Oryzias latipes: one gene and its partner. The protein of the gene in region 1 interacts with the protein of each later gene in a pairwise test. Links are inferred from orthologs where the notes say so. Each region holds a gene or a part of one and is shown in the gene's direction. Other genes may lie near its edges.

What was found.
Region 2: the proteins of klhl2 (region 1) and txndc12 interact in binary tests that used the Homo sapiens proteins (3 or more experiments, as listed by UniProt). The two-hybrid records come from large-scale screens. The link is inferred for Oryzias latipes from reciprocal best matches to the Homo sapiens genes KLHL2 and TXNDC12.

What each region holds. Positions count from the first base shown.
Region 1 is NC_019859.2:19,776,541-19,780,695, forward strand, and holds the end of klhl2 (kelch-like protein 2), read left to right. Parts: coding exon 1-76; intron 77-1,495; coding exon 1,496-1,636; intron 1,637-1,722; coding exon 1,723-1,866; intron 1,867-2,228; coding exon 2,229-2,257; 3' UTR 2,258-3,655; downstream 3,656-4,155. UniProt on the Homo sapiens protein: Substrate-specific adapter of a BCR (BTB-CUL3-RBX1) E3 ubiquitin ligase complex that mediates the ubiquitination of target proteins, such as NPTXR, WNK1, WNK3 and WNK4, leading most often to their proteasomal degradation.
Region 2 is NC_019875.2:4,319,631-4,323,717, reverse strand, and holds the start of txndc12 (thioredoxin domain-containing protein 12), read left to right. Parts: upstream 1-1,287; 5' UTR 1,288-1,460; coding exon 1,461-1,560; intron 1,561-2,741; coding exon 2,742-2,802; intron 2,803-2,928; coding exon 2,929-2,981; intron 2,982-4,087. Other genes in the region: btf3l4 (transcription factor BTF3 homolog 4), read right to left, coding at 83-136. UniProt on the Homo sapiens protein: Protein-disulfide reductase of the endoplasmic reticulum that promotes disulfide bond formation in client proteins through its thiol-disulfide oxidase activity.

The sequences.
Region 1 (4,155 bases):
ACAGTGGAAGCTTACAACCTTAAAAGCAACACATGGAGCTACATAGCAGAGATGGGCACTAGACGCAGTGGAGCAGGTGTGTGGGGGCTGGGCTACAACTAACCATTGACTGCACTGATAGTTTTCACAGGAGGTCTCGGTGTGTGTGTGTGTGTGTGTGTGTGTGTGTGTGAGGGTGTGTGTTTACAGTTGCCTCAATTCTTTTTTCATAAATGTCAGAAGGTTTTTGTGCTTTCCAGTGCCATCATCTCTGAGGAGACAGACCAGGACTTTTTTTTTTTTTTTTTTATCAAACTCACAAATGTATGCTTTGAAATGAGCACTTGACTCACATCAAATGTTGCTATAATTATGATGTTAGCTGCAGTGGCGGACCGTGCATTACACACCTGGGCCTTCAGTCGTGCTACGTCTGAATCACTCAACCCCTCATTAACCATTTTAAGATGCAGAAACAAGCTTTGCATTGTTTATTGAAAATTCCTGTATCCTCAATAAATGCCTCTAAATAAACAAAACAGTAAACAAATGCTGTTATGGAACTACAACCAGCTCAAAACATTGAAAACAACCACATAAATTTGGAAATTGAATTTATTACGATTTTTATCCTTTCACTCTTTAAAAAATCGGATTATTTGAAGACAAAATCCATCCTCTTCTCTTTCCTCAAGAACAGTTTGATCACCCTGTCATGTAGATTATGGTCTTCAGTTCCGTCAAGAAGTCCTTTTCTATTCCATCAAGGCCAGTGCTGAGAGCCGAATCTGTCCAGTTGTGTTTCTGCGTAGAGTTTAATTCGCTTTACTGCTGTCCGCTGGACAGACATAGTGGACACGGTGATGCTCAGCGCCAAACACACAAATCTGCACAGCTGCTCTCACTCAGATTTTTCTGATGAAGGAAGTCTAGGAGATTAGTGGGAGATTTTCCTGCAAAATCATCCATGGCGTACATTACAGTTATTTTATTATGTATATATATTATGTTTCATAAGATATAGGAACTGCTCCCTGAAGTGGGTGGAGCAAACCGGCCTTTCCCATTTCAGGCCTTATTTTCATCATTTAGAATCCAGTGTTGCTTCTTTGTACTAATTTAAAGATTTTGTGTTATAGATCACCCACATTTGAACTTCCAAGAACCAAAGAAATGCACATGTATGTTCAGAACAAAACCAGTAGTTTAATTGATGGAATGTTGGAATGTTGGGTACATTTTATGTCTTCTTGGATGATCCAGTTCCTAGTGGTCAAATGGGAAAACCTTTAAGCTTTGATATCCTAAAAACGTTACTTGTGGGATCATGTGATGTTTTATTAAAGTGTTTATCCCCACAGCAGGAACTGTACATTTGTAAAGAAATCAGGATCTGAAATACACTAAAGCATTCAGCAGTATTTTATGAAATACACACAGAGAGGCATTTAATTATCCACATTCAACAGTTTTGTGTTTACTTTGTGGTTTAAAATGTGTACTTTGTCTTCTCCAGGTGTAGGTGTGTTAAAAGGTTTGCTGTATGCCGTGGGGGGGCACGATGGTCCTCTAGTGAGGAAGAGCTGTGAGGTCTACGATCCATCCTCCAACAGCTGGCGTCAAGTAGCTGACATGAACATGTGTCGACGCAACGCAGGTCAGTGAAGGGCGCGTCTCTTCCACCCCCATGGACCTGGTAGATCCCTCTGATGTCAGGTGACCTTTTCGAACTTGTGTTTTCAGGAGTGTGTGCTGTAAACAACTTACTGTATGTAGTGGGAGGAGATGATGGCAGCTGCAATTTGGCCTCAGTTGAGTTCTACAACCCCAACACTGACAAGTGGACTTTAATGCCCACTTGTATGAGCACAGGCCGCAGTTATGCAGGTCAGTTCATCCCTGAACCTTTGTTTGACTAACGCGCGACGTATTCGGAGAAGATTCCGAGCCAGATTCTGAGAATAGAGTAGAAAATCCCTGTTTGTTTACTCCTTGAGTGGGTCATTTCTTTTCATGTGTACTTCATTGGTTTATTTCAAACATAAAAAACAAAGGGAAAAAAATCAAAGAAATTTAAATGTATATCAAACCTATTTATGATATTAATTGAAAAAATAAGCCATCTTAAATAAAAACCTTTTAAGACAGATTTGGATTTCAGCCTCAACTGTTTGTTTTCATGCTTATGATCCTGCTGCAGGTGAAGCTTAGCTGTGACACCACCGATCCATATTTTTTTTTTTTTACAGGTGTGACCATGATCGATAAGCCTTTATGACTGCACACCTGCCACTGATGGAAAGCAGAATGTATTCTTTCACTGAATCCTGATATCGGATCTCTGCAATGCAGATGTTTTCGGTGTTGAGCAGCAGCAGCACTGACGACGATGAAGACAAATAACACAGTGGTTATTGTTGAACGCCATGAGGATTTTTGCACTTACCTGAATGGGTGAAGCTGAATCGAAACAAGGGCTGTGTGATTTTAGTCCGCTCGCGGTAGGACTGCAGCCACAGCTGCCAGACAAGCAAGTTTGAAGCACCATTGTACCACTGCAGTGCCATTGAGACGCTACTGACGGGAAGCTGCTATACCTGCGAAGCTACTTTAACATAAGTAATGTTAATACCAACCAGCTCTGAGGAAAGCCACTCATCTGATCTATGGGAAACAAAGCAGAAAAAGACTGTTCTGGATACATTTAGTTCTTTTTTTAAAGGTTTTATTCTGTTAGGGAGTGTGCTTATGTTGAGTGTTTGTGCGCACTAGCACATGAAGGGTGCACCATTGCTCGCACATGAAAGCATGTGTCTTTTCTGCGTATCTGAGTCTGTATGTGGCGAAGCCTGATTCAATAAGGCATGAACACACAGTCACCATCACCTATTAGAGTATTGCAATGAGGCAAGTTAGAGTGCCTGAATGAACATGCACTATTTCTTTGGTTTAGTCCTGTTGCCTAACAGGGGAAGGCTGTTCTTGGACACAATTCTGACTTTAGATCGGCAGCATTTTTGCTCTCCTAATCTCAGATTTTCTGATACTCTTGAGAATGTTTGATGGAACAAGTCCTCGCTGGAGGAGGAAGCCTCATAAATGTTGCCAAACTCAGCAACAGAGTATTACACTGTTCAAAATGAGAAACAGCTGGATGTATCTGTGCTTTATCGTTGCCTGGCAGCCATATTTACTGTGGTCATAGCCAGTACTGAAAACAGCAGTCTGAGCTCGCTGCATGGTCCTTGTCTCTAACCTATCTCTCAGCAATTTCCTCCTCTCCTGTTCTTTGGTGTAACCACCCCTAATTACCACCGCACACCCTTTGTGCTACGAATGTGCCAATTTTAATGTATCCTCTTTTCTGTATCTTTACGACTCTGTTACTAATCTTTTCTCTCTTTATGGAAAGTGACCAAACCTCCCTTCTGTGTTCATTTGACCTGACGTTTGTTTTTTTCCTGGCTTTTCTGCTATATTCAAAACTGCTATAAAAGTAACTGGTTTTGCTGTTTGTTAGTGTATTGAGGAATGTCATGTAGGCTAATAACCTTGACGATGTTTCAGTACTTGTTTTATATTGCCGTTAATAAATATGCTTCTTGTATTTAAAGCTGTGAAATGAAATGACCTGTTTTTAAACCTTGCCAAATCAGTAAAACATCTAAATGAAACAAATGCATATTTATTTTATTATTTCATTGTCTTGCATGAGGGGTAGGACTTTATTCGTTTTTTAATTTCTAAAATTTCAGCTAAAACCTTTTACGTACACTAATTACAGATACACAGATGGCAATTTGAAAAAGCAGAGTTAAAATATTTGCTGAAATTATCTATAATTAGTTCAAATTGGGTGTATTTGATCAAGAGTTCACATAGTTCAGATTCTTTGCTCTTTTTTTCCAATAGGACAAATAAACATTTCTACAGACCTAAGAAAGTGTTTTAAATATCCACATTTTTTCAGCTTGTCTTAACTTTCTAACCCTCAAGAGATGATGTACACATGGACAAAATTAGCAGGAATCAGTTATTTTGAAATGTGGAGATGGTTAGTACTGCAATAAGAGGCCCATAATAATATTAGATAAGGGCAAACCCTCATCTAATATTTTTGTAGAGCACATTTTACTTCTGCAACTCAACATGCTTCACAGTGATTCAAAATCAGCA
Region 2 (4,087 bases), on another chromosome or scaffold:
CCGTTGCACTCCAAAATGAGCCACAGAGGAGACCATAACAGGAAAAAAACTCAACAGCAGAGAAAATGCTGGAAGCCATTACCTTTCCTCCTATTCGGACTTGGGCCTGAAGCTTGGCGAGCTTTTCCTGATTCATAGTGTTCTGGTTCTTCCAAAAGAAACACAACAAATGTCGTTATTCTCAGTCTGGATGTGCAGATATGGAGACAAGATTATGAGATCATCATCACTGTCAGGACAGTTTTTATTATTTGGCAAAATACAGTTAGCTATGAATCTTATGCAGTCACTTTAAATGACATCAGACATGTCTGATGTCATTTAAAAAAAAGTAGCTTAAACTCATAAGGATTTGTGTTTGAATTTAATGGATTTAACTTAATTTAAAAAAGTTCACATAACACCACGTCAACTCACAATCAATCCAAATATAAAGTAAATAAATTGGAATTTGGTGATCCGTCAAACAGTCTAACCCTGAGAGTTTTCCTACAGGCTCGCTGAAGGGGCTGCACGATCATGTGAAGCTAAACCACACCGAGTTATTAGGCAACAACCACCGTTATTCCGATTCTACCAGTAACAAACAATACAAATAGAACACCAGACGGCCGGGTCGTCTAGATTATCGATGCTGGAGACTGTTGTAAGGCGACTATCAAAAATAAAAGATGATTATTTTGAACACGAGTGGAGCTAATCGGGTTGCTAAAACGCCAGGCTATCTGAGCTAATGCTAGCATTGCAGCAAAGTAACGCTCCATCCAAAGTGGGTTCATGACTACACTGTTAGCTTACAGCTACTTTAGACCATTTAGATGTTTACAAGCAATGCAATGAATTCAATTTACCTGAGCACGAAGAAAATATGTAGGTTCCGTTGAACTTCTCTTGCTACAAAAGGAGCAGTGAGGCTTACAGAAGCATCGACGAGTTTACGGCATTAAGGAATCACTTCCGCTTTGAGTTTTCACAATAAAATCCTTAAGTGTTAAGATTCGGGAATCTTTTGAAGAATCGTTAAGTAATTGTACAATTATTTAGTGACAAAAGTAATACAAGTGCATATAGTTTTCTTAAAACAGCATACAGGCTAAACGATTGTGATGATTATTGCAGATTGGGGCTTTTAAATGCACGTTTCTGCTTTTGTTTCCTGTCTCCGGCCGACGTTTTGCTGTCTGCCTTGACTAATGGGGCACATCGGCGGAGCACGCGGTCGTGTGGATATGATGTCACGTGACCCAGGCCTCAAAATGGCAAGAGGAATCTGTCGACCAATAGGAAGCCACTCGCGCACATGCGCGTGCGCGTGTGTACGCAACGTTCGGCTTGAAAATCACCCTGCACGGGCTTTAATTTTGAAAAGCAGCCGTTGAACGTCCGGGTCGAAAGTTGTGAACCAGCACTGCCATTATATCACCCTGTAGCCGCAGACGTGAGGAAGAAAGCCGCGGAAAATGCAGCCGTCCTCGGTGAACATGGCCGCTTTCACGCTGCTGAAGGTCCTGGTGTGTCTGTGCGGGCTCCACGGTCTGGTGGACGGCGCCAGCGGCAGAGGTGAGTCCGACGGGGGCGCGCTTGCGGCGCAGACGCCGGGGAGTAGTAACGCCGTTCCCGCAAGAAGAGGAGAGCCACCTGTCTGTCTGTCTTTGTGCCCGCATCCTGAAGCGCTAAGCCCGCATCCTGTTGACTGCTTCACGCGCTGCTTCCTTCTTAGACTTCACAAGTTGTTCTTCTGCTGGTTCAAAGATCTCACCGTTTGCCCAGTGTTTGTGTTCATTTTTATCCAAAATAATCATAGTAAAAGTTGGTGATCTGAATGGATTTCAGGGAATGTCAGTAAAATTTTTGAAGGACTTTATGCATGAACTGTAACGAACTTAACACTTCTTCTTCAGTGCTTTTGTTGTGCATTTACTGAACTTGTGTGCACATGATGATGATTTGGTCCAAAGATGTTTTGGAAACAGCCAAACTGATGCAGAACAGGATGCATCCTGTGGTTTATGTGTGTGTAAATGAAACTGGGCTCAAATATGAACCACACTAACAGGGAATTCAGCGCCTTTAGTGATGCTGAGCAGGTTGCAGAACTTAACAAGGTAGGTAGGTGTAAAATAAGGAAATAATGAAAGCTCCACTTTAAAGAAAGTTGTGTCTTTACAGCTGCTTTCAAACAAGACAGAATAACATGATAAACATTATGCTGATGGGAATAGAAAAAGCTAAAAAAAAAAAAAGGACTGAATTTGTTATCGGGTCACAGCGTGCTCTTTATCCCGTGGACCTTGAGCTTGGAGTAAACAGTTGATGCTGAAAGGATTCAGACGATAAATTCAGTGAGCTTTTCTCTAAATGGGATTATCTTTCGCTGCTGACATTGTTTGAAAATGTGAAGACAGTCTGACCTCAGGCTGGCCTCGCCTTAGATGCATGTTTAAAATAAATAAAAGTCAAAGTCGTCTGCTAAGGAAACAGATATTTCCTGCTGAGCTGGTGATGGCATCCTGAAGGAAAACAAAGTGGGTTGAGATGGAAAATGTGCTCATTTGTACCAAGTATGTAATCTTAGAAAACAAGTGAAATGACAGGAGTGAACGCTCAGCTAGTATCTGAATCCATCCCAGATGGAAGACATGTCATTCTGTTTGCCACAGTTTCCTCTCAGGTCTTTGTCCTGCTGGGAGGAAAACCGTTTCAAACACTTTGCTGCAGTGTTTTGCCCGTTTCTCCTGCAGGTTTTGGAGACAACATCCACTGGAGGACGCTGGAGGATGCCAAGAAAGAAGCTGAGGCCAGGTGAGCTGCAGCGCTCCCAGTCCCTAACCCGTGTCTGCGTTTCCGCTGAAGGTTGACATCCATGGTGTCGCTGTCTTCAGGCTCCAGTGGGACCTCTGTTCACTTTTCATGTGGTTGTTTTAACAGCGGGCTGCCCGTCATGGTCATCATCCACAAGACCTGGTGTGGAGCCTGCAAAGGTAACAGACGGCTCAAATGTGTCCGATTTAAATGCGTTTCATGCTTAACGTGGCCTTTACAAAACGCTGAAGTTCTTCTCAAGAGTAATGGATTACTTTCGTGTCATACCAAAGTATTTTGGGGCTTTCCTAATGATTTTTTATTAGTATTTCCTTCAGTGCATGTCAAAACTTCCTTCAGAGATCCAGACTTTTATTTTAATGTTCTCAAAAGTGTCTAGTTTTTTTTTACAAGGCCAAAATCTGCCTTTCTGTTACAGTAGTCATGGTAACCGTCTTTATGAGGTCGAATGCTTGTTTCTGTCTTTGAGGACACAAAGTTCTGATCAGTCTCTCTTTTTTACAAAAAAAAAAATATTTTTATGGACTAAACTTAAGCTGTTACCAAAAATCTATATTATCTTACAAGCATCCGGTACTCTTCCATCCAAATGTGAGACACTTTTCAAGTTCTTTACAAAGTCATTGAAAAGTAATACATGAGTTATGTAAGGTATTCTGTAAAGTATGCTAAGTAAGGGATTACTTTGAACAATAACAAGTAATCAGTAATGAATCACAGATTGTAAGGAAGTTGCAGAACACAGCTGACCAATCAGAAGAGTTTCAGTTTCTTCTGTTTACTGTTAAAAAAACGTCTAATTTAGTTGATTTATTCAAACTAAAAACTCAAAGCAAACGGAGACGTGAATGAATTTATGAAAGTTCTCTGCTGATTTTGTCAATTCTGACTGTTTATTGAAGAAAACATGAATATTTCAGTTTGATTCTCTGAAAAAGCCTTTGCTTTAGGTTTCTAGAGTAATAAACTCGTCAGGGGAGCTTGGCTGTTGAACTCATCAGGATAAAAACGACAGATAACCGACATCTAGTTAATCATTGGATATTTGTTAAATAAAAAAAGTGCTGTCCACACCAGATTAACCGTAAAAAGAATAAGTAAAATGATCGAAAAAGATTATAAAACAGATGCTTTTCTGTAAATGCAGAAGGGTTTAGGAAGGAGGCAAGAATCAAATGCTTTTATTTTGAAAAGTCAGTCATGAGGAAGGTTGGTGTAACTATAGAATGATGCACCAGCTTTGTTTCTTTAACTGTTTTCCCTT